5 linked regions of the Oryza sativa Japonica Group genome follow. The protein of the gene in region 3 binds, or shares a complex with, the protein of the main gene of each other region. Links are inferred from orthologs where the notes say so. Each region holds a gene or a part of one and is shown on either strand. Other genes may lie near its edges. The genes, in order: photosynthetic NDH subunit of subcomplex B 4, chloroplastic; photosynthetic NDH subunit of subcomplex B 1, chloroplastic; photosynthetic NDH subunit of lumenal location 5, chloroplastic; NAD(P)H-quinone oxidoreductase subunit N, chloroplastic; photosynthetic NDH subunit of lumenal location 1, chloroplastic.

Region 1 (3,361 bases), on a different chromosome or scaffold from region 3:
ATGATTTTTTTTATGTTTCACTCATTGGTATTTAACGTTTTGTGTAGTGGTTGTGATTGTTTCAGTTAGTAAATTGTTGTATTTCTCTAAATTTGAAACAATTCACGAGGTGAGTTGTAATATTTGTGTACATGTGATGAAACAGTTTTCTATCAATGGTGAGACAAGTTATTTTTTGAGACACATGTATATTTTTATCAAAATATAACCATGTGAGATCTTGTTATAAAGATTTAATGATGATGAATCTAATGGTATCATTGAAATTTAGATCAGAATATATAATTTTGGAGAAAAAAATATTTAAAATTTGAGGAAAAAATTAGGCACATGTAATAATAGAAGGGAGAGGGAGGGAGCGTATGCAAGCAGCAGCGCAAGCAACACATACAGGGGAGGCAAGCAACGTGGCACGTGAACAATGCAGCATGGGCGGCCTACATGCATGCGTATGCGCGCGGCAGTGCGGGGGTGAGCGTTGACCAGCAAGTGAAACATTATGTTATATATGGTGAAACAAAAAAAATCAACAACCGAAACATTTAAGTATTTTATGAAACATGGTGAAAATACACGTTGAAACATGTCGCTGGCACATATGAAACAACAAGTATTAACGAATTGAAACATATATTTTTCTTTTATCAAAATAAAATCATGTGATATTTTATTGTAAAGATTTAATTAGAACAAATATAATGGTGTGATCGGATCATAAATTGGATAAGTAATTTAAGAGAAAAATTATTTTGAAGCTTGCTAAAATACATACATGTGTGCATGGATGAGGTGGAGAGAGAGGAGAGAGAGTAGTAGCAGTTAGTTTCATGAATTTTGTGAAACACACCGATGACACATATTGAAACATATCACTATCACGTACGAAACATTTTGTTTTAACGTTTTGAAATACATGTTTTTCTTTTGACATAATATAATCATGTGATATCTCATTGTAAAGATTTAATTGCAACGAATAGAACGGTGTGATCGGATCGTAAATTGGATAAGTAATTTAGGATAAAAAATATCTAAAGAGAGGAGAAAAGAATGAAAAGAAGCAGTTAGACACATACGTTACAGTGACAGGGTTCGTTCTCACATGCCTGCATGGGCGTCCGATTTTTGGTGAGATGCCGGACGCCAAGCCGTAGCGCCCTCCAAGAAATGGCGGACGGATGCACGTAACGGGCCACGAGCCCACGGGTCAACCTAATCCCATCCGGCCCAAACATGACCTTGACCGGGCAAGGCCTAGCAACGCTCAAGCCCGCTTCAACCAAGCCCAAAATTCTTGTGCTTTTCGTCTGCCCAAGATCAGACAATGGTTGGCCACCCAAAAGTCTGACCTTATCCACTAAAATTTTCCATACAGATTACAGGTTACAGGTTTCACCCCTGAGCCAAACGTGAGCCCGCTACACTGACAACAACAAGCTCATCGCCAACCCGCTACTGAAGCAGCAGCCTACCAGCAATGGCGTTGCCGCTGCTCAAGTCGTCCCCCCACTTCTCTGCTCTTCACTCCGCGAACAGAGCCCAGCTCCATGGCCGCTGCCGTGCAACGGTACCGCACCGTCCATTCTCCCCTTCGCGTTCATGCAAAAACTGCTTTCCTGAATTCCTTGCGAATTTCACCTACTTGTTCAAATGTTGTTGTTAAATTTGCAGCTCGGTGGATTCCATGACCCGAGGTCCAACTCCAGCCGTTGCAAGGTGAAAGGTCCCAGTGCATTTTAATTTTTTCACCGAGAAAGAAGAAATCCGTGGTGATTGGTGAGGCAAAGTAATGCGGTCTTAGCGTTTGCAGAAATCGGCCGGGAGGGGTTCAGTGAAGGCGAACGCGTCCCCGTTGGACGTGGTGACGCTGATGGTGACGATGGTGGAGCACGTCGACCTGCAGAGGGACTACGTCGTGCACAAGTCGATCTGGCATCTCAGCGACGCCGCCCTCAAGAGCGTCTGTGAGTCGTCGTCGTCGTTTCACCTTTCCTGCAGTTTGTTGTTACGTCTGAAACTGAAACTTTTCACAAAAAAATTTCTCTGTCTGTCTCGTAGATACCTTCTACGCCTTCTTCACAGTCTGGGGCATCTGCTTCTTTGCGTCCATGAAGGCAAGCACGCAGAACATATGCCACTACAACTTGGAACGAAATTACATCTTCGATATGTGTTACTGACACGGTCTTGTGTGAATTTACAGGATCCTTTCTACGACAGTGAGGCGTACAGGGGACAAGGGGGTGACGGCACCGTGCACTGGTACTATGACCGGGTATGTCTTTCATTACGGCTTTTTTTTTTTCCTTTATCACGAAGAAAGAACATTCAGACAATTAGACAAACTCTAGTTGTGCGAAGCTACTAAGATAACCAGTCATTTTGCTGATCGATCTCCACTCTCCCATGGTTGATTCTGCAGCAAGAGGACCTGGAGGCGTCTGCAAGAGAGGAGCTCCTGAGGGAGGAGCTACTCGAGGAGATCGAGCAGAGGGTCGGAGGGCTCAGAGAACTCGAGGAAGCAGCCAAGGAGGAGCAGCTTACAAACTGATGGATGAATGAGAGATTGCGCATGGATGGATGACTGCATGATCATGGCGCGATGCGGCTGCATTCTGTAATACCGTACAGAGCGGCTGTGTAATAGCAAGATACACAGTTGCCTGATAGCGCCTGTAAATGTTGGCATCAGACTCAAAAGGAAAGCAAATAGGTGCTCCGTCTGCATGAATGCATTATATTGCATTTGTAGTGTAGGCTAAAAGAAGGAATGTACTACTCCATGTTAATCAAAGAACCTGTACCGTTCACCATGGTGGATATTGCTTCCAAAATATATAAATTGTGTAAATCGACTGATATAGACCTACACCATGGTGGATATACGTGCCCTGTGGAGACGGAAGTTTTGTCAGATCGCAACCAAATTGTGGCGATCCAATATGCTTTCGTTCTGTCGGCTCTCACGGTGTCGGGCCAACTTTATTTGGGTCCAGTACAGAATGGTAGCGATTATGGGCTACCTTTACCGGGCCGCTCGGTGATGGACTGGCCCAAAAAACTCCGTTAGTTCGGCCTGCTTGCGCTGGTGGTCGCGCGCTGGGAATTGGACGCCATCGTCGGCCACGGCCATTCGATCGAGGAAGAAGAACCGCTGATCATACTTGAGCTGCTCCACTACAGGCCGCGAACCAGCAGCAATCAGTCTGCACTCAACGTACAGTACAGACCACACTACCACAGTAGGTAGCACATGTATATACTACTTGTATAGGGTGCAGAACTTCGTAGTATTCCGTCGATCAGCTCATCAGTCATCAGAGACTAACAATAGTTATTTCGACACAGGTCTCTCGACAGG
Region 2 (4,007 bases), on a different chromosome or scaffold from region 3:
CCACTCCGCTGGAGAAAAAGGCGACGTGGGGGCACGGCCGCCCGTCCAGTCAGACGTGACCGGCAACAGGCCGGTGACAGACTGGTTAGTCCTGACTGACGTGCGTCAGTCGGACGGCACCGCATGTCTGCCCCTACCGCATTAAATGCGGTGAGGGGCAGTTGGGGCGCCGCGCGCATTGATAGCGGTTCAGCCTGGGTCCCCTCCCCGCTCGCTCCCCCTGCCACATGGCAGTCGGGCGAGGTCCTCGGGGCAGGGCAGCGCGAGGGCCCGAGGGGCATGACGTGGCACCCTGAGGCCCCCCGGCCGCTTCTGCGATTCGCGAGGTGCGGGGGTAGGGCCAGGCTGCAGGGCCACGTAGCTGGATGGGAAGGTAAATTCCCCTCACTTTACATACCCCCGGGCCCATATCTCCGACAGATAGCTAGATAACATCAAATTAAGTAAATTAATGTGATTTATGATAATTTAAATTTAAATAGTATGTAGAATGGTGATTCAAACGTAAAAAGTAAGGTGGTATGACTTTATGGAAGAAGAAAAGTAGGGTAGTTTGGACCGTAGATTAATCATTTAAAGGCTAAAAACAATTGATGTGATATGACTTAATTAGAGGAAAAAAGGAGAAATATAATTTGGACCATAGATTAATCATTTAAGCACTAACTAAGTGAGGATGAACTATATAAGTATGTACTTCCTCCGTTTCACAATGTAAGTCATAACATCAATATGAATGTGGGAAATGCTATAATGACTTACATTGTGAAACGGATGGAGTAGGATTTTATAAAATATAGATATACATTGAAACATTGTGTGAATTATGTGGGATGATAATTTAACATGCTTGTATTTTAAAAGCTCTTAAATTATAAAAACTATAAAATTATAGATAATATAACATGTTTGCATGATGTTTAAATGTGATGATCGTTAGTGGATGATGATGTGGCATCTGGTTAATTAGTGGATAATGATGTGGCATCTTTGCATGTTAAGCTTAAATGAGTTAGTGGGGGGTAATTTTATAGTAAGATAGGATTAGTTCAGCTGTCATAAAGATAAATCTTCTACAATTACTCCATTCTGAAAGATCCTTGTAGAAACTCACAAGTATAATCCAAACTCCAAAAGAATTTTCGGAGGGATTTTGCCAGCTGCCACATCAACAAAAAGGATGAACCAAATTAAAGGAGATCGAGGAATGGTGGCACAAGAAAACAGGACCAATTGGCACCATCATCGTGCACTTTATCCTTCCTCCTCCACACATCCCTAACCCACCACATCCAAACCCCTCCTCCACACACCAAAAAACAAAAAACATAGAAATAAATAAATAAAAACAATAGCAATATCCAAAGCAACTCATCAGCACACTCACTCTGCAACAAGCATGCAGACGCCAACCATGTCGACGTCCATGGCCACGCCGGCGAAGCTCCCCTCACCGCCGTCGCTGCCGATAGCGAGGCAATGCTGCTGCCACCTGCTGCAGCTAGGGCGGCGCGGCGGCGCGGGCGTGGCGCGGGCGTCGGCGAAGAAGAAGAACCCGTGGCTGGACCCGTTCGACGACGGGCCCGACGACGAGTTCGACTACCGCGGCGCGTTCTCGGGGGGGAAGCAGGAGGAGGACCCGCGGCCGCCGGAGGACCCGGCGAACCCGTACGGGTTCCTGCGGTTCCCGGCGGGGTACAACCCGGAGCTGGATAGCCTGGCATCCAAGGTGCGGCGCGACGTGCGGCGGGCGTGCTGCGTGGTGTCCGGCGGGGTGTACGAGAACGTGCTCTTCTTCCCGGTGGTGCAGCTGCTGCGGGACAGGTACCCCGGGGTGGTGGTGGACGTGGTGGCGTCGGCGAGGGGGAAGCAGGTGTACGAGATGTGCAAGAACGTCAGGTACGCCGACGTCTACGACCCCGACGACGACTGGCCCGAGCCCGCCGAGTACACCCACCAGCTCGGCGTGCTCAAGGTAAACCAAAAATTATGTCACTGCTACGTACAGAAATAGTCACTCAAAGTGGGGATGTATATGTTTTAAACTCGATCGAGAAGGGATTATGTCCACTCGTTTATTCAAACTTCATCTAAATAATTGTTAAGAATTCTTTCAAAATTGACAACATACACACCGTACGTGTAAAGTACTCAAAAAAAAATCAAGTCAAAATTCAACTCACACATTGAGAAATAATTAAAAAAAAATCCAACATATGAGTAGTGTCATGTCTGAATTCGTCTTTTGTTTCCTCAAAGCATAGATCGAATTTAAATATGTTTTTATGGAGTAATAGATGTTATTATGCATTGTCATTTTTTTTTAGAATTTTTCACAACCAATTACATTGAATTTAGAAAATAAAAATTACACGAGAAGATATCCTCTCGAGAGATTAGAATTCTCTCTCCTTCAGAAGTGTCATGCCCAGCCCAGGTTTACATTCTCTAATGGTCAGCAGATTTCGACTTTCGAGCCATAGTGAGTAATCGGTTTTTCATTAATTTCGACAAATTTCAAACAAACCATTGGAGTTGCACATCTCGAGCCGGTTCGATATATGCGCTGAATTTGTTCAAAATTTATTGTGATTCTCTAAACATAATAATATCAGATAAACCTGCTTAATTATGTTGCTTCCCCACCACATATGCTCAGTATTTTGATTAGATTATATTTATCATGAAAGATTCAACCAACTGAAGCTTGATTTTGTGTTGAGGTTGGCAGAACAGGTACTATGATCTGATCATATCGACCAAGTTGGCCGGGATAGGGCACGCGCTCTTCCTCTTCATGTCGTCGGCCCGCGACAAGGTCGGCTATGTTTACCCCAACGTCAACAGCGCCGGCGCCGGGCTGTTCCTCACCGAGATGTTCCGGCCGCCGACCACCAACCTCGCCGACAGCGGCTACAACATGTAAGATCATCATCCTCCTCTTCTCCGCGGTTTCGCCTCCCCTTGGTTCATAACTGTTATAATTTCCTCATCCGAAAAAGTTACTGCTTTGGCATTCTTGTGCTGTATAGTTGCATTTAATTTATATAGGGGCAACTGTCTCATCTTTTGCCTTTGATTTAGGTTGAAAAGCCATAACAAAATGAACTAGGCAACCGAATATGATTTGTTGGCAAAACTTTTAACTGTTCTTAATGGTTCAAAAGTCAATATTGAGAAATAAACTATGATAAGGAAAACTCAAAATCAAATCTAAAATTAAATTTTAAAATTTAATATTTGGTTGCGGCTAATAAGACAAACAAGCAGAGGCAGAGTTATAACCCTTATAGTAAAGCAGATATTGCCTAGCTCTTCTTTTGCAACTTAGGAATCTTGCTCAATTATTCTTGTAGAAGAGTTGAACCAATTACCGTCAAAATCCTATAAAATTCTTGCAAAATGCTTTCTGATTTCGAAGAGTGTGCAACTGGATGGATTAGGTATCAGGACATGTTGGAGTGGATTGGGCGGCCAGCGAAGGGTGTGCCGGAGCACCCGGTACCGCCGTTGCGGGTGTCCATCTCCAAGAAGCTCCGAGCGTTCGTGGAGGACAAATATAGCCGTGCCGGCGTCGAGAAGGGCAAGTTCGTCGTCGTCCACGGCATCGCCTCCGACTCCTTCGCCAACATGAGGTCGAGGGGGGACGATGACTGCCTCCTCCCTCTCGAGCATTGGGCTGAGATCGCCAAGGAGATCAGGTTTTTCACCTCACCTCACTCACTCACTCAAGCACGGCTGCTCTTACACTTACATTTCCAGCTTGGTACCGATTGTGAGAAGGTAGAACTAAAGCCAAAAAAATGGTGGTGTCTTGGCAGCTCTGAAGACAATGGTCTGAAGCCTCTGTTTGTGATCCCTCATCAGAAGCACAGGGAAGAGGTTGAGGAGACTGTGGGGAAGGACACCAATATCCTGTTCATCACCACTCCTGGCCAAGTAGGTTCTTTGATGCTTCTTCATTACAATCACTTTGCAATCTGAAAACACCTTAGATCATCTTTCAC
Region 3 (4,080 bases):
CAATAATAGGTTAACAAAGTGAAGAGAGGGAGAGAGAGATGTGGATCTAAATCTGGGGGAAGAGGGAGATGAGATGGGGAGGGGACTGACGCGGAACCCTGGTTGTAGAGGTTGAGGGTGACGGCGAGGCGCTCCACGCCTGGACCCGGGCGGGACAGCGCAACCTTCTTCTGTGCTACCACGAACGGCGCATCCTGCCCGGCGGCGGCGGCGAAGGGCACGAGGAGGAGGAGGAGGAGGAAGAGGAGAGATCGCCACTGCTGCGCCATCACCGCTCACGGAGATTGCTTTGCTTCTTCCACCTCACCTCGACCGAGGCTATTGTTACATTACATGTGTGTTCAAGCCCATCCCATCTATTACATGGGCCCCCGTGAATACTATGCCCATCAGCCCATTTTACTACCTCCTGCCTCCTATGCGGCCCCCTCCCCTCTCTACCAAAAAAAAAATAATACCACCTCCTATTCTTATTTTTTAGCATTGTCCATATTTATATATGTGTTAATAGATCTAGACATATATGAATGTGAAGTCTTATAACCTAAAACTCAAGAAAAATATTTACTCAGGTCCTAGTTTTAAAAAATACTCAAAATACATATAAGGTTAACAATTAATTTATTCATCTAAGGGTTTAAAAATATGAATTGTTTATGTAGCTTACTTACCCAACATGAAAGTTTATATATAAATTTCAAGTTTTCACTTTTTTAAAAAAAATATTTTTGAGTTTTTTATGAGAGAGAAATTACTTACGCAAAAGATAATTTACATTAGAAATGAGGTATGTTCTCGAAAAAAGTTACATTAAAAACAGCAAAAAAAAAATTCTTGCAGTATATAATGGATAAATAATTTTTTTTAAAAAAATATAAAAATGTAAAATCTTAAAACTAGTGCATAAACTAGCATTTTTTTTCTTCTGAAACTTATGGTAGGATAAATCAAATATTAACCTTATATGGTGTATTTTAGGTATTTTTGAAAATAGTATAGTCCGATGGTATATTGTATAATAATTGATAACTTACCGATATATTATAGAAAGAGACACTGTAAATAAATAAATTTTAAATAGTTGGATTGGGACAAATAGAGTTGATTTAACAGATGCTTTTGGTCCCAAAAATAAAATATAGTACTTCCCCCAATGAAGAAGGTGTGTGTGATTATTGTATTTCCTGTGCACACATATGCAAAAATGCCATCCATTCATCCCAGTGCAATGCCCTATCTACCTATCCAATCCCAATCCACCTGAGCGAGAGAGAGAGAAAGGGTCTCCTCCTCAACATCAACAATGGCGGTCGCAACCTCCTTCGCCACACTCGTAAGCTCACTCATCCATGGCCTCTGCTCTCCTCTTCTTCCCCACCGAGCTCTCAATCTTATTATCGTCGCTCTTTCTTCTCTTGTGTTTGCACTGCAGGCCATCGCGCGGCCGGCGGCGGAGCGGGCCCTCCTCGCCTCCAAAACCCCCTCGCCGCTCCTCTCCATCCGCACCGGCACCGGCACCGCACGCCTCCCCTCATCGGCCGTCTTTGGAGGTTTCACTCCTGCGCTTTCCGCTGCTCACAGCCGCGCGCGCTTCGTCTCCTCCGCCACCGCTGACCCCAAGGTACTGTGTCCCCGGATCTTCTTCTTTTATCTGCCCTACATATATCTTTCTATTGCCGCACCGCATCCATTCTTGTAATCCTGTCTAGTAGTATATCAGTCAAATTTACTACTCCACCTTACTGGACTATTATTATGCAATCAGCCTCCGCAATACCGGCCCCTGTTTGTTGCCTCTTTGGAGGAAGAGATATTGGGTTAGCACAGATGACCTCGACCTTCCAACACCATTAAATTAAAACTAATACTAGTAATGCCTTTGTATGTCAAATTTTGTTATCAGATTTTTAAATCACCAGGTGAAATTTATGCTACCAAAATTGCAGTTTCAGGCTTATCATCACCAATGCTTTATTATGTATTCACCTGCTCTGATTAATAATTTTAGTTGCCTCGACCATAGGGTTCTGCTACTTACAGGTCTTACCTTGTATGTGCACCGAATGTAAACACGTTATTCATCATCAGTGACTGCCTGCAACATTGTGAGGAAACACGTGTGCCCTTCTGTACTACTGAAAGCTGGGTTTTCCTTTCCCATGTGCACTATGCGCTTTCATGTTTTCCTCCACTAGATGTTAACTTACGATATACTACCTCCTTCCTTTAATATATGACGTTGGTTAGTTCAATTAACATCATACATAAAAGAACAGCGCAAGTATCGATTATTCTTACCCTATGTGGGAGAACTGGATACCACGCTTCAAATTTATTCTTTCAGTTTTGCTAAACTTCTCCCATACATTGCAGGAAGTGGACCTCCAGTCCAAAATCACAAACAAGGTGTACTTTGACATAAGCATCGGAAACCCTGTTGGGAAGAACGTTGGGAGGGTCGTTATTGGCCTATACGGGGATGATGTTCCCCAGACCGCAGAGAACTTCCGTGCTCTTTGCACTGGTACAAAGGGCTTCTTGCTTTTCTTCTCTTCTGTCATCTACTACTTTACAGGATTACCCAGATTTGGTGCATGATACACATACCATTGCCCTTTTCCTTTTCAGGAGAAAAAGGGTTTGGTTACAAGGGGTCCAGTTTCCACCGTGTCATTAAGGACTTCATGATTCAGGGAGGAGACTTTGACAAGGGCAACGTATGTCTTCATTATTTACTTTCTTTATAATCTACTCCTATGTTGCACTTGTTCCTCTGTTTCATCTGACAAACTCTATTGGAAAAAGTCACATAGTGTAACATTACTCACAACACTGAATGAGCTCATGTGTTTGTTTCTATCTATCACCATTGAGCCAACTATTTCTCCAAAAAAAAAAAAGTTTGATTTGTTTTATCAATGTTAGCGCTTTATGCTGTTTTGGATAGAAAGCTGACCTATATATGTGTTTTGGATCATTATACAACTTTGTGTTATGCACTTCAGTGCTTGCCCTATGGTGTTTTAGATCATTATACTGCTTTGCATCATGTACATTATGAGTATGAATTGGTAGTTTGTGATCAGCATAATGTGTATGCAGTGATTATTGACTTCATGGCTAGATTACAAGGAGATTAGCACCAAATCCTTTTTCTTTAAATTGATGGCCTAAATTAAATCATGCAGCTGCCTGGTTTCATGAATTATGAATTTTTGACCTAGCCTACATCAAATCATTCAGCTTTCAACTTCTGCATGTGGATAAAGTAGGTTTCAAAAAATGAATATTTCAGGGTACTGGAGGGAAAAGCATATATGGCCGGACCTTCAAAGACGAGAACTTCAAATGTACGTCTGACAAATGACCTAATCTGATCGTTCTTTCTGCTTCTTATCTTGTGGTTGTGCTGATTATATGTCTTGTAATGTTTGTAGTGGTTCATACTGGACCTGGAGTGGTCAGCATGGCCAATGCTGGGCCAAACACCAATGGCAGCCAGTTCTTCATCTGCACTGTCAAGGTAACACTGTACTGATATGTTCACTGTGTACTAGTGTCGAAACTCACTCAAAATTACATTGCGCTGACTGCTACCTGCGAATGCAGACACCTTGGTTGGATGGGAGGCACGTCGTGTTTGGGCAGGTTATTGAAGGCATGGACATCGTTAAGATGATCGAATCGCAGGAGACTGACAGAGGGGACCGCCCGAAGAAGAAGGTGGTCATCAGTGAGTGTGGGGAGCTTCCAGTGGTCTAATAGGTGCCAGAGGGCTAATCTTCTTCCCCCGGAGACTTTGCTGTTTTTGGTTTCATAGTAAGCTGTGAACTTATCGCATGTTCTCCGCGCAGTCAGAGATCATGCTGAGTTGAGGCCAAGATTTCTAAGTTGAGAAGAATCCTCTATTGTTCGGCTGGAATAAAACGTTCTTACCTGTCGAGGGTCAGGAAATAATGTTGTGGTTCATGAAAGATCAAATGTCTGTCTTTTCGTGCATACGCAGACTAAAGTTACTCCTTTCCCAATACCTTTTGTTGCTGCATACTCTCTCTGTCCTAAAAAAAACAAACCCTGGTT
Region 4 (2,889 bases), on a different chromosome or scaffold from region 3:
GGAGGGCGGGGACGGGGAATGGTTCACCGTCCCCGCCCCCGTCATCCCCGATGGTGAGAGGTTTTTAACCATTTCATTCCCCATGGTGAGTGGATATTAACCATCCCCTGTCACCTAATAGGTGAATTCACCGCGGGGAAATGGTGAACGGGCCCCCATTGCCATCTCTACGCCCGGCTGGATCTGGCGGTGGGGCAGAGTGGTCGGGCGCAACGATTGGAGGTGTTGGCGGCGGCGGAGGAGGAGACCGCTAGATCCGTGCCTGGATCTAGCGGCGGCGGGCGAGGACCGGCGCCACTACGGCCGGATCCGGACGGCGACGATTGTGGGCGACGGTGACGGCGGTGGAGGTGCGGGAGGCTGCGTGAAATCCTAGCCCGGTCTTGGCCAGACCAGCAACGATGATGTTCGAGCGTCATTCCCCTCCTAAGGCCGTTGTTATGCCATCTCACCCTCAAGTGTAGTTGTCGGGCGAAAGCCTAGTCTTGGTTCGATTTGAGATCTTGATAGACTGTGGCGGCGATGTTTCATCACTTCTCTCCGTTTTCGTGGTAGAAACTAGAAACATCGTCTAGGCATCACCTTGTTGAAACCCTCAAGCTTTTGGTGCAAGCTCACTCTAGATTCTCATCCTCTTGTGACAGCGTTCTAGTTTCTGCAAGTTGGCCATGTCGAAGGGACTAAGGGAAGAGGAATTTCATTCTTCTCTCTCACCCTCTCCCTAAATCCCGAAGACTTGGATAGAGTGGTTTTGCGTTGGTTGTAAGGGTCGGGTTTGGGCAAAATCTCGGCTGTGTTTCGTTGTTGGCCTAGTGGTGGTCGGTCACGCTTAGCGGCGGCTGGCCCGGTGATAGCCTTATCTTGATTTTGTGTTGGTGCTATCGGTGTGTGGGTGGTGATGTACTTTTTTTCATTTTTCTTGGTTACAATATTACAACATTGTAATCTTGTATTTTTTTTCCTACTCTATCAATGGAACTTACGGGTTACGGCTTTCTGGTGTTGGGGTTCGTATTTGGGCCTGATCTAGCGTGGTTACATGCTTGGGCCACGTCTCGGACCATCCGCTTGGGTGGACTCCGCGGAGATCACCGCTCAGTTGAACAAACTGGGCGCACGACACCGTCTCCGAGTCTTATCCGCTCAACGCGGTCAGTACGCGCGCGGCTGTTATCTTCCCGCCACAGGCTCAAACAAACGACACCCACCCACCCACACACACTACACTACAGCAACCAGCGATGTGGTCGGCGGCGGCGGCGCGCACGGTGACCCCGCTGCCGGCGGCGTCGCCCCTGCAGCAGCATCAGCAGCGGCGCGGGGCGTGGGCGCGGGTGGGCAATGGTCGGGCGGCGAGCACGACGGCGGCGCGGGCAGGGCTGTGGGACTTCGTGGGAGGGGACCTGGTGAAGCCGGACATGGGGCGGTGGCTGGACGACGTGGAGAAGCACAAGTCGCTGGCCATCTACCCGCCGCACGAGGGCGGCTACGAGGGCCGCTACCTCAGCCGCCTCAGCTACCAGGGCTACTACTTCCTCGACCTCTCCGCCCGCGGCCTCGGCGACCCCGAGACCACCCTCACCAAGATCCACCCCGTCTGCCCGGTCAGTCCACAAAACAATCCTCTCTCTCGATCTCGATCTCGAGCTAGCTAGTAGCTAGCTGCCTCCGATCATGGCTGACACGAGCTTGCTTGCTTGATTGCTCTGATGTGCGCAGCCGAGCCTCGGGAGGCAGCCGGTGGCGAGGTGGTACTTCCCGCCGGAGGTGGACTACAGGCTCAGCTTGCTGCACCCGGACGCCAAGGGCCTCGTCGTCTGGGTCATGGAAGCCAAGGTCTCCATCCATTGATCCATCGATCTCACCATCCTGTTCTCTAGCTCAGCTCTGCAATTTCCCGTTTCGTTTCTGCGTCCCGTTAATTTGTTTGGTGGTTTCTATTTCTGCAGGTTCTCTCCAAGGCCGAGCTGCAGTTCCTCGCCATTCTCCCTGACATCCGCCCCAAAGTCAGGGTGATCGCGGAATGCGGCAACTGGTACGTAAACCTGAACCCCGAAATTAATGATGACGATGTGTTCTTGTGATCTCTGAATTAAATTCTGTGCCCTGTTTGGCCCAGGAGGAAATTTGTGTGGAAGCCGCTGAAGCAAATCGCGGGCCTTGAGCCGGACCCTGACGCAGAGGAATGAACAAGATCAAGACCATTAACAGGCAGCCTGAAACAAAGTTACTTGATATATATCTCATCCAACACACATTGTTTCCCGCTTTGTACTTCACTTGAGAGAGGCAATGAAGAATGTACATACATTTTGGCTCAAATTACCCCAAGACAACCATGTAAAATCAAACTTTCACATAATACAAATCCATCAGAAGACCATGCGATCCTTTCGTCTCATCAGCGGCGTAGGTAGACAAGGTCGGTGCTGAGCAGGAACGGGTACCCGATTCCCCTCCTCTTGGACGGGAAGAGCACGAAGAGGAGGCTGACCACGAAGCCGATCACGAGGGGCACCGTGTTCACCACCTTCCTGGGCACGCCGGGGTAGTAGCACAGCACGATGTCGTGGTGCGACGCGGCGAACGTGACGAAGGCGACGAGGGCCAGGGCGGTGTGGAAGAGGTCCGACCACCGCAGCCTGTACCTCTCCGGCTCCCTCGGCCCCGCCTTCCCGCCGCCCCGCCGGCGACGCCGGCCGCCGACGCAGAACGTGCGGATGCCGCTCGTCGTGGCGATGCCGTACCGGAGGCGGCCGGTGGGGGAGCGGAAGCTGTCGGTGAGCGTGAAGAAGACGCAGGAGGCAGCGCAGAGGAGCATGAGGGCGCCGGTGAGGGCGCGGTTGAGGCGGGTGCACTTGCCGTCGTCGGTGAGGAGGGGCGCGAAGA
Region 5 (3,681 bases), on a different chromosome or scaffold from region 3:
CATAATCTTAAATCTTCTGCTTGTATAACTGAATGAATCGGATGGAATTCTGAGTGTTAATTCTTGTTCTTCCAGCAAACTTGCTGCTCATGAGGCCCAGAAAAAGCTGGAGAAGGAAGAGGAGGATGAGAAGCGTATGCTGCAAAAGTCCAAGGAGTTGGACGCTTTTGATCAGCAGAATCATGGAGCCGTCCCCCAATACCACGATCGCAGCGGCTCTGAAGACAAGAATGGTTTTCATGGAGCAAACAGCGTGAAGGTTACTTCCTTTGAGGAGGAAGCCCTTCGCAACATGAAGGCATTCTGGCTTCCATCAGCTACACCTGAAGCTACTGCCAAAGTAGAAGCTCCCTCCACTGACACAATCTGCCCCGAGGGACAGGAGAAGCTCAAGTTGAAATCGCTCTTCCCTATCTCCTTCACTGAAGAAAACACCGACCAGAAAAACAAGAAGTCGGTGGAGAAGAGCTACATGTGCCCCAGTTGCAAGTCTACCCTAACAAACACCATGTCCCTGGTGACGATCAGCACGTGTGGCCATGTCTTCTGCAAGAAGTGCTCTGACAAGTTCCTTGTAACTGATAAGGTCTGCTTGGTGTGCAACAAACCGTGCAAGGAGAGGAATTTCGTTCCTTTGGAAAAAGGAGGAACTGGATTCGCTGCCCATGATGAGCGTCTAGAGGCGAGAGATTTCAAGCATTTGGGGAGTGGTTCTGGACTGGGTTTAGTGAAACCTGCCCCAAAGAACTACTAGCCTCAAAATATCTTAGCTGCTGTTGTATATTATTTATGTTAACCTGAAAATTTTGTTTCAAGCATCCCCTTTCGCTGTGAACAGTCTGGAGCAAATTCAGTCTTGTTATGCTAGTGGCACTATGGTTGCTAATTGCAGCTTTGCTTATTTGCTATGGCTAAATGCGTTAGTTCGCAGCTGTTGTACTATTTATCTACCAAGTTTGAAGCACAGTCAAAATCATCTTTCTTGTTACATCGAAGCTATCGAATATGTATCGCATGATCTGATGGTAGGATCGTGTGTGTGTGTGTGTACATATATTGTTTTTCAGCCAAAGTCAATGTACAAAAAAAAAGGTAAAAAGAGAATTGGAAAAACATAAAGCTCTCACATATCTCCACCACAATCACAACAGGAACGGATTGGTCCCATTTTGTCAGTCAGTGCTCAGTACGAGACAAGGCCAAAAGTTCTAATGAGGATAATGGAAATGCTGACCTGGCTTCCTTGCCCTCCACTCACACAGACACACAGACTACACTTGAAAAGCGAACGAGCCAGTCCTAGCAGCAAAGGATAACTTGACTGGAGGAAGGCAAGAACACGTATTTTCTTCAGGTTCATAGCTACTCCTGCAGGTGAAATGGCAAGCCTGCAGAATTTGATCTGCTCCGTTTCCAAGCAGGTGTGTGCTTGTGCCCTCTTCTCATCGTTTTCTGAATCTTGTTTATTTCACCACTTTATATCGGTGTTGTTTTCAGTTGGTTGCTCCAAATTGTGCTGTTACCAGCAAGCTGAATGCGTCTCCTCTGTCAGTCGTCAACGCTAGCTCGAGTGAAGCATCCTCGGATGAAAAGAGTAAATTCCTCTCTGTCAGTTCTCTCGATGCATTTTGTTTCTGAAGATTAACATTTTTTTTGGCTGATTATCTCTCCATCTTACAGATGTGACAAGGAGGAGATTAGCTCTGCTTGGTGCTGGAGCATTAGCCACTGGTCTGCTAAAGAGCAGCTCTGCATATGCTGAAGGCATGGCCATCTGAACTGTCGCATGGTTTTATTTCAGTACTAGGTTGTCTGCATGTTACATACAAGTTCCCACTTCTCAAGTAGCCATTAAGCCTTTATGGCACCATGAGATGATACTAACTCGGATTGTTCCTATATTCCAGAAGTGCCAAAGAATTACAAGTCTTATGTGGATTCAAAAGATGGATATTCATACCTGTATCCAGCTGATTGGAGGGTAGGTTGCAATATTTTCGTCTTGAAGAACAGAGATGTCAGTTCCAATGACTGTGTTTTCGGTGGTACATGGTATTGATGTATGCCCTTTGTTTTGATGTGTCACTTCAGGATTTCGACTTCCTGGGGCATGATTCAGCGTTCAAAGATCGTAATGTAGCGCTGCAGTGCGTGCGTGTGGGCTTCATTCCTACTACAAAAACAGATATCCGTGACCTTGGTCCAATGGATGAGGTAGGATTTCATGCGATATCTGATAATATCTTTCTTGGTAATGTAAAGGAATCAGGCAATTTTTTTAGCCTTTTCTTTTGTTATACATCATAGATTTTTTTTATTCTGACAATTTACATACTCCTCTATCAGGCGATCTTCAATTTGGTGAACAATGTTTATGCTGCTCCAAATCAAATACCAACTGTCTATGACATGCAAGAGGTTTGCCATTTATCCATCTCCTTCAATCAATACTATTTAGCCATATGATCTATCTGAGTATACCAAACTGTCGCTGCATTGCTCTTTCGCTGATTAATTTACGTCTGATCTCATTGGAATGGCTATAACAAAGACTGCAACAACTCTGCAAGCAAAATAAGCAACTGAGTTGTTGTGATTCGCAGCGCACCGTGGATGGCAAGAACTACTGGACATTTGAGTACGATCTTGAGGCCCCGGGCTACGGCGTGTCCGCATTTGCGACGGTTGCCATTGGAAACGGTATGATATTGATATGATGCCTCCTCACCACAAGATCGCAGAGATATATATCATCATCATCTATTAAATTGTATATTTCATCATGCATGTATTTTTTTTTCCTCTCATAAGAAGAAGCTGGTTAACCTGATGGCAATGGCAATGGCATGGCAGGTCGGTACTACACACTGATCGTGACGGCGAACGAGCGGCGATGGAGTAGGCTGAGGAACAGGCTCAAAGTCGTCGCCGACTCCTTCAAGCTGTCCGACCTCACCGCGTGATGGGAGGCAGTTCAATTGCAGAAATATCTTTTATTTTATTGCTTCGTAGTCATGTAGATACATACATACATACAGACGCTGATCTACCACTAGAAAAAGTGCTGGATCGAACACCCTGGCTCAGCTTCCAGGAAAAAGGATGCATAATTACCTTATAGACTTCAATTAATTAATTGTGTGTATGCTATTAGAGCTATTTTTCTATTATAGCCATCTAATTATGTTGATTGAATCGGTTCAACCATCAGTTGCAACTTGCAAGCGACGAGTAGCCATCAGTTAAAAAGGCAGACCATTAGGCCATAGTCTCCGGAGCCAAGGACTTAACAGATCAACAGCGTTTCTATACAGACGTGTGCACGATCAAACCAATACATTACAGAGGCGAAAGGAATCAAGTACACAGGCCTCAGAAAGAATGTTTGCAACTCATATATTACAACAATTACAATGCCCTCCAAACTTGCTAACTATTTCCAGAATAAGTTCCCCTCCAAACCCGCTAACTATTTCCAGAATAAGTTCCTAGAGTTTCAACAAAGCTAGTCATCTGAATCTTCAGACTAAAATTTTGTTGTCAAGACCAGGTCACCATTCCGCTCATTCAGAGCAGCGCCAGCGACACCTAACATTTTTCCTCCGACAAAACGGTAAGCCACAGAACCATGACCCCTGGCTGAACAGAGCGAAAAGGAACTTGATCACGCGCTAGGATAAT

What was found.
Region 1: photosynthetic NDH subunit of lumenal location 5, chloroplastic (region 3) and photosynthetic NDH subunit of subcomplex B 4, chloroplastic share a complex: the UniProt entries of both Arabidopsis thaliana proteins name them as parts of the chloroplast NDH complex. The link is inferred for Oryza sativa Japonica Group from reciprocal best matches to the Arabidopsis thaliana genes Pnsl5 and PnsB4.
Region 2: photosynthetic NDH subunit of lumenal location 5, chloroplastic (region 3) and photosynthetic NDH subunit of subcomplex B 1, chloroplastic share a complex: the UniProt entries of both Arabidopsis thaliana proteins name them as parts of the chloroplast NDH complex. The link is inferred for Oryza sativa Japonica Group from reciprocal best matches to the Arabidopsis thaliana genes Pnsl5 and PnsB1.
Region 4: photosynthetic NDH subunit of lumenal location 5, chloroplastic (region 3) and NAD(P)H-quinone oxidoreductase subunit N, chloroplastic share a complex: the UniProt entries of both Arabidopsis thaliana proteins name them as parts of the chloroplast NDH complex. The link is inferred for Oryza sativa Japonica Group from reciprocal best matches to the Arabidopsis thaliana genes Pnsl5 and NdhN.
Region 5: photosynthetic NDH subunit of lumenal location 5, chloroplastic (region 3) and photosynthetic NDH subunit of lumenal location 1, chloroplastic share a complex: the UniProt entries of both Arabidopsis thaliana proteins name them as parts of the chloroplast NDH complex. The link is inferred for Oryza sativa Japonica Group from reciprocal best matches to the Arabidopsis thaliana genes Pnsl5 and PnsL1.

The regions. Positions count from the first base shown.
Region 1 is NC_089036.1:31,695,996-31,699,356, forward strand, and holds photosynthetic NDH subunit of subcomplex B 4, chloroplastic, read left to right. Parts: upstream 1-1,371; 5' UTR 1,372-1,477; coding exon 1,478-1,567; intron 1,568-1,671; coding exon 1,672-1,716; intron 1,717-1,810; coding exon 1,811-1,964; intron 1,965-2,058; coding exon 2,059-2,114; intron 2,115-2,203; coding exon 2,204-2,275; intron 2,276-2,422; coding exon 2,423-2,551; 3' UTR 2,552-2,858; downstream 2,859-3,361. UniProt on the Arabidopsis thaliana protein: NDH shuttles electrons from NAD(P)H:plastoquinone, via FMN and iron-sulfur (Fe-S) centers, to quinones in the photosynthetic chain and possibly in a chloroplast respiratory chain.
Region 2 is NC_089042.1:10,686,217-10,690,223, forward strand, and holds the start of photosynthetic NDH subunit of subcomplex B 1, chloroplastic, read left to right. Parts: upstream 1-1,202; 5' UTR 1,203-1,399; coding exon 1,400-1,975; intron 1,976-2,731; coding exon 2,732-2,922; intron 2,923-3,443; coding exon 3,444-3,701; intron 3,702-3,821; coding exon 3,822-3,939; intron 3,940-4,007. UniProt on the Arabidopsis thaliana protein: NDH shuttles electrons from NAD(P)H:plastoquinone, via FMN and iron-sulfur (Fe-S) centers, to quinones in the photosynthetic chain and possibly in a chloroplast respiratory chain.
Region 3 is NC_089039.1:192,260-196,339, forward strand, and holds photosynthetic NDH subunit of lumenal location 5, chloroplastic, read left to right. Parts: upstream 1-1,266; 5' UTR 1,267-1,303; coding exon 1,304-1,333; intron 1,334-1,432; coding exon 1,433-1,621; intron 1,622-2,373; coding exon 2,374-2,524; intron 2,525-2,628; coding exon 2,629-2,717; intron 2,718-3,295; coding exon 3,296-3,350; intron 3,351-3,437; coding exon 3,438-3,523; intron 3,524-3,609; coding exon 3,610-3,762; 3' UTR 3,763-3,999; downstream 4,000-4,080. Other genes in the region: uncharacterized protein, read right to left, coding at 91-269. UniProt on the Arabidopsis thaliana protein: NDH shuttles electrons from NAD(P)H:plastoquinone, via FMN and iron-sulfur (Fe-S) centers, to quinones in the photosynthetic chain and possibly in a chloroplast respiratory chain.
Region 4 is NC_089035.1:38,936,204-38,939,092, reverse strand, and holds NAD(P)H-quinone oxidoreductase subunit N, chloroplastic, read left to right. Parts: upstream 1-1,136; 5' UTR 1,137-1,241; coding exon 1,242-1,604; intron 1,605-1,719; coding exon 1,720-1,836; intron 1,837-1,949; coding exon 1,950-2,035; intron 2,036-2,119; coding exon 2,120-2,189; 3' UTR 2,190-2,383; downstream 2,384-2,889. Other genes in the region: protein DMP7, read right to left, coding at 2,402-2,889. UniProt on the Arabidopsis thaliana protein: NDH shuttles electrons from NAD(P)H:plastoquinone, via FMN and iron-sulfur (Fe-S) centers, to quinones in the photosynthetic chain and possibly in a chloroplast respiratory chain.
Region 5 is NC_089037.1:9,604,706-9,608,386, forward strand, and holds photosynthetic NDH subunit of lumenal location 1, chloroplastic, read left to right. Parts: upstream 1-1,259; 5' UTR 1,260-1,379; coding exon 1,380-1,421; intron 1,422-1,497; coding exon 1,498-1,594; intron 1,595-1,680; coding exon 1,681-1,764; intron 1,765-1,907; coding exon 1,908-1,981; intron 1,982-2,091; coding exon 2,092-2,214; intron 2,215-2,346; coding exon 2,347-2,418; intron 2,419-2,603; coding exon 2,604-2,700; intron 2,701-2,853; coding exon 2,854-2,963; 3' UTR 2,964-3,167; downstream 3,168-3,681. Other genes in the region: E3 ubiquitin-protein ligase CSU1, read left to right, coding at 76-754. UniProt on the Arabidopsis thaliana protein: NDH shuttles electrons from NAD(P)H:plastoquinone, via FMN and iron-sulfur (Fe-S) centers, to quinones in the photosynthetic chain and possibly in a chloroplast respiratory chain.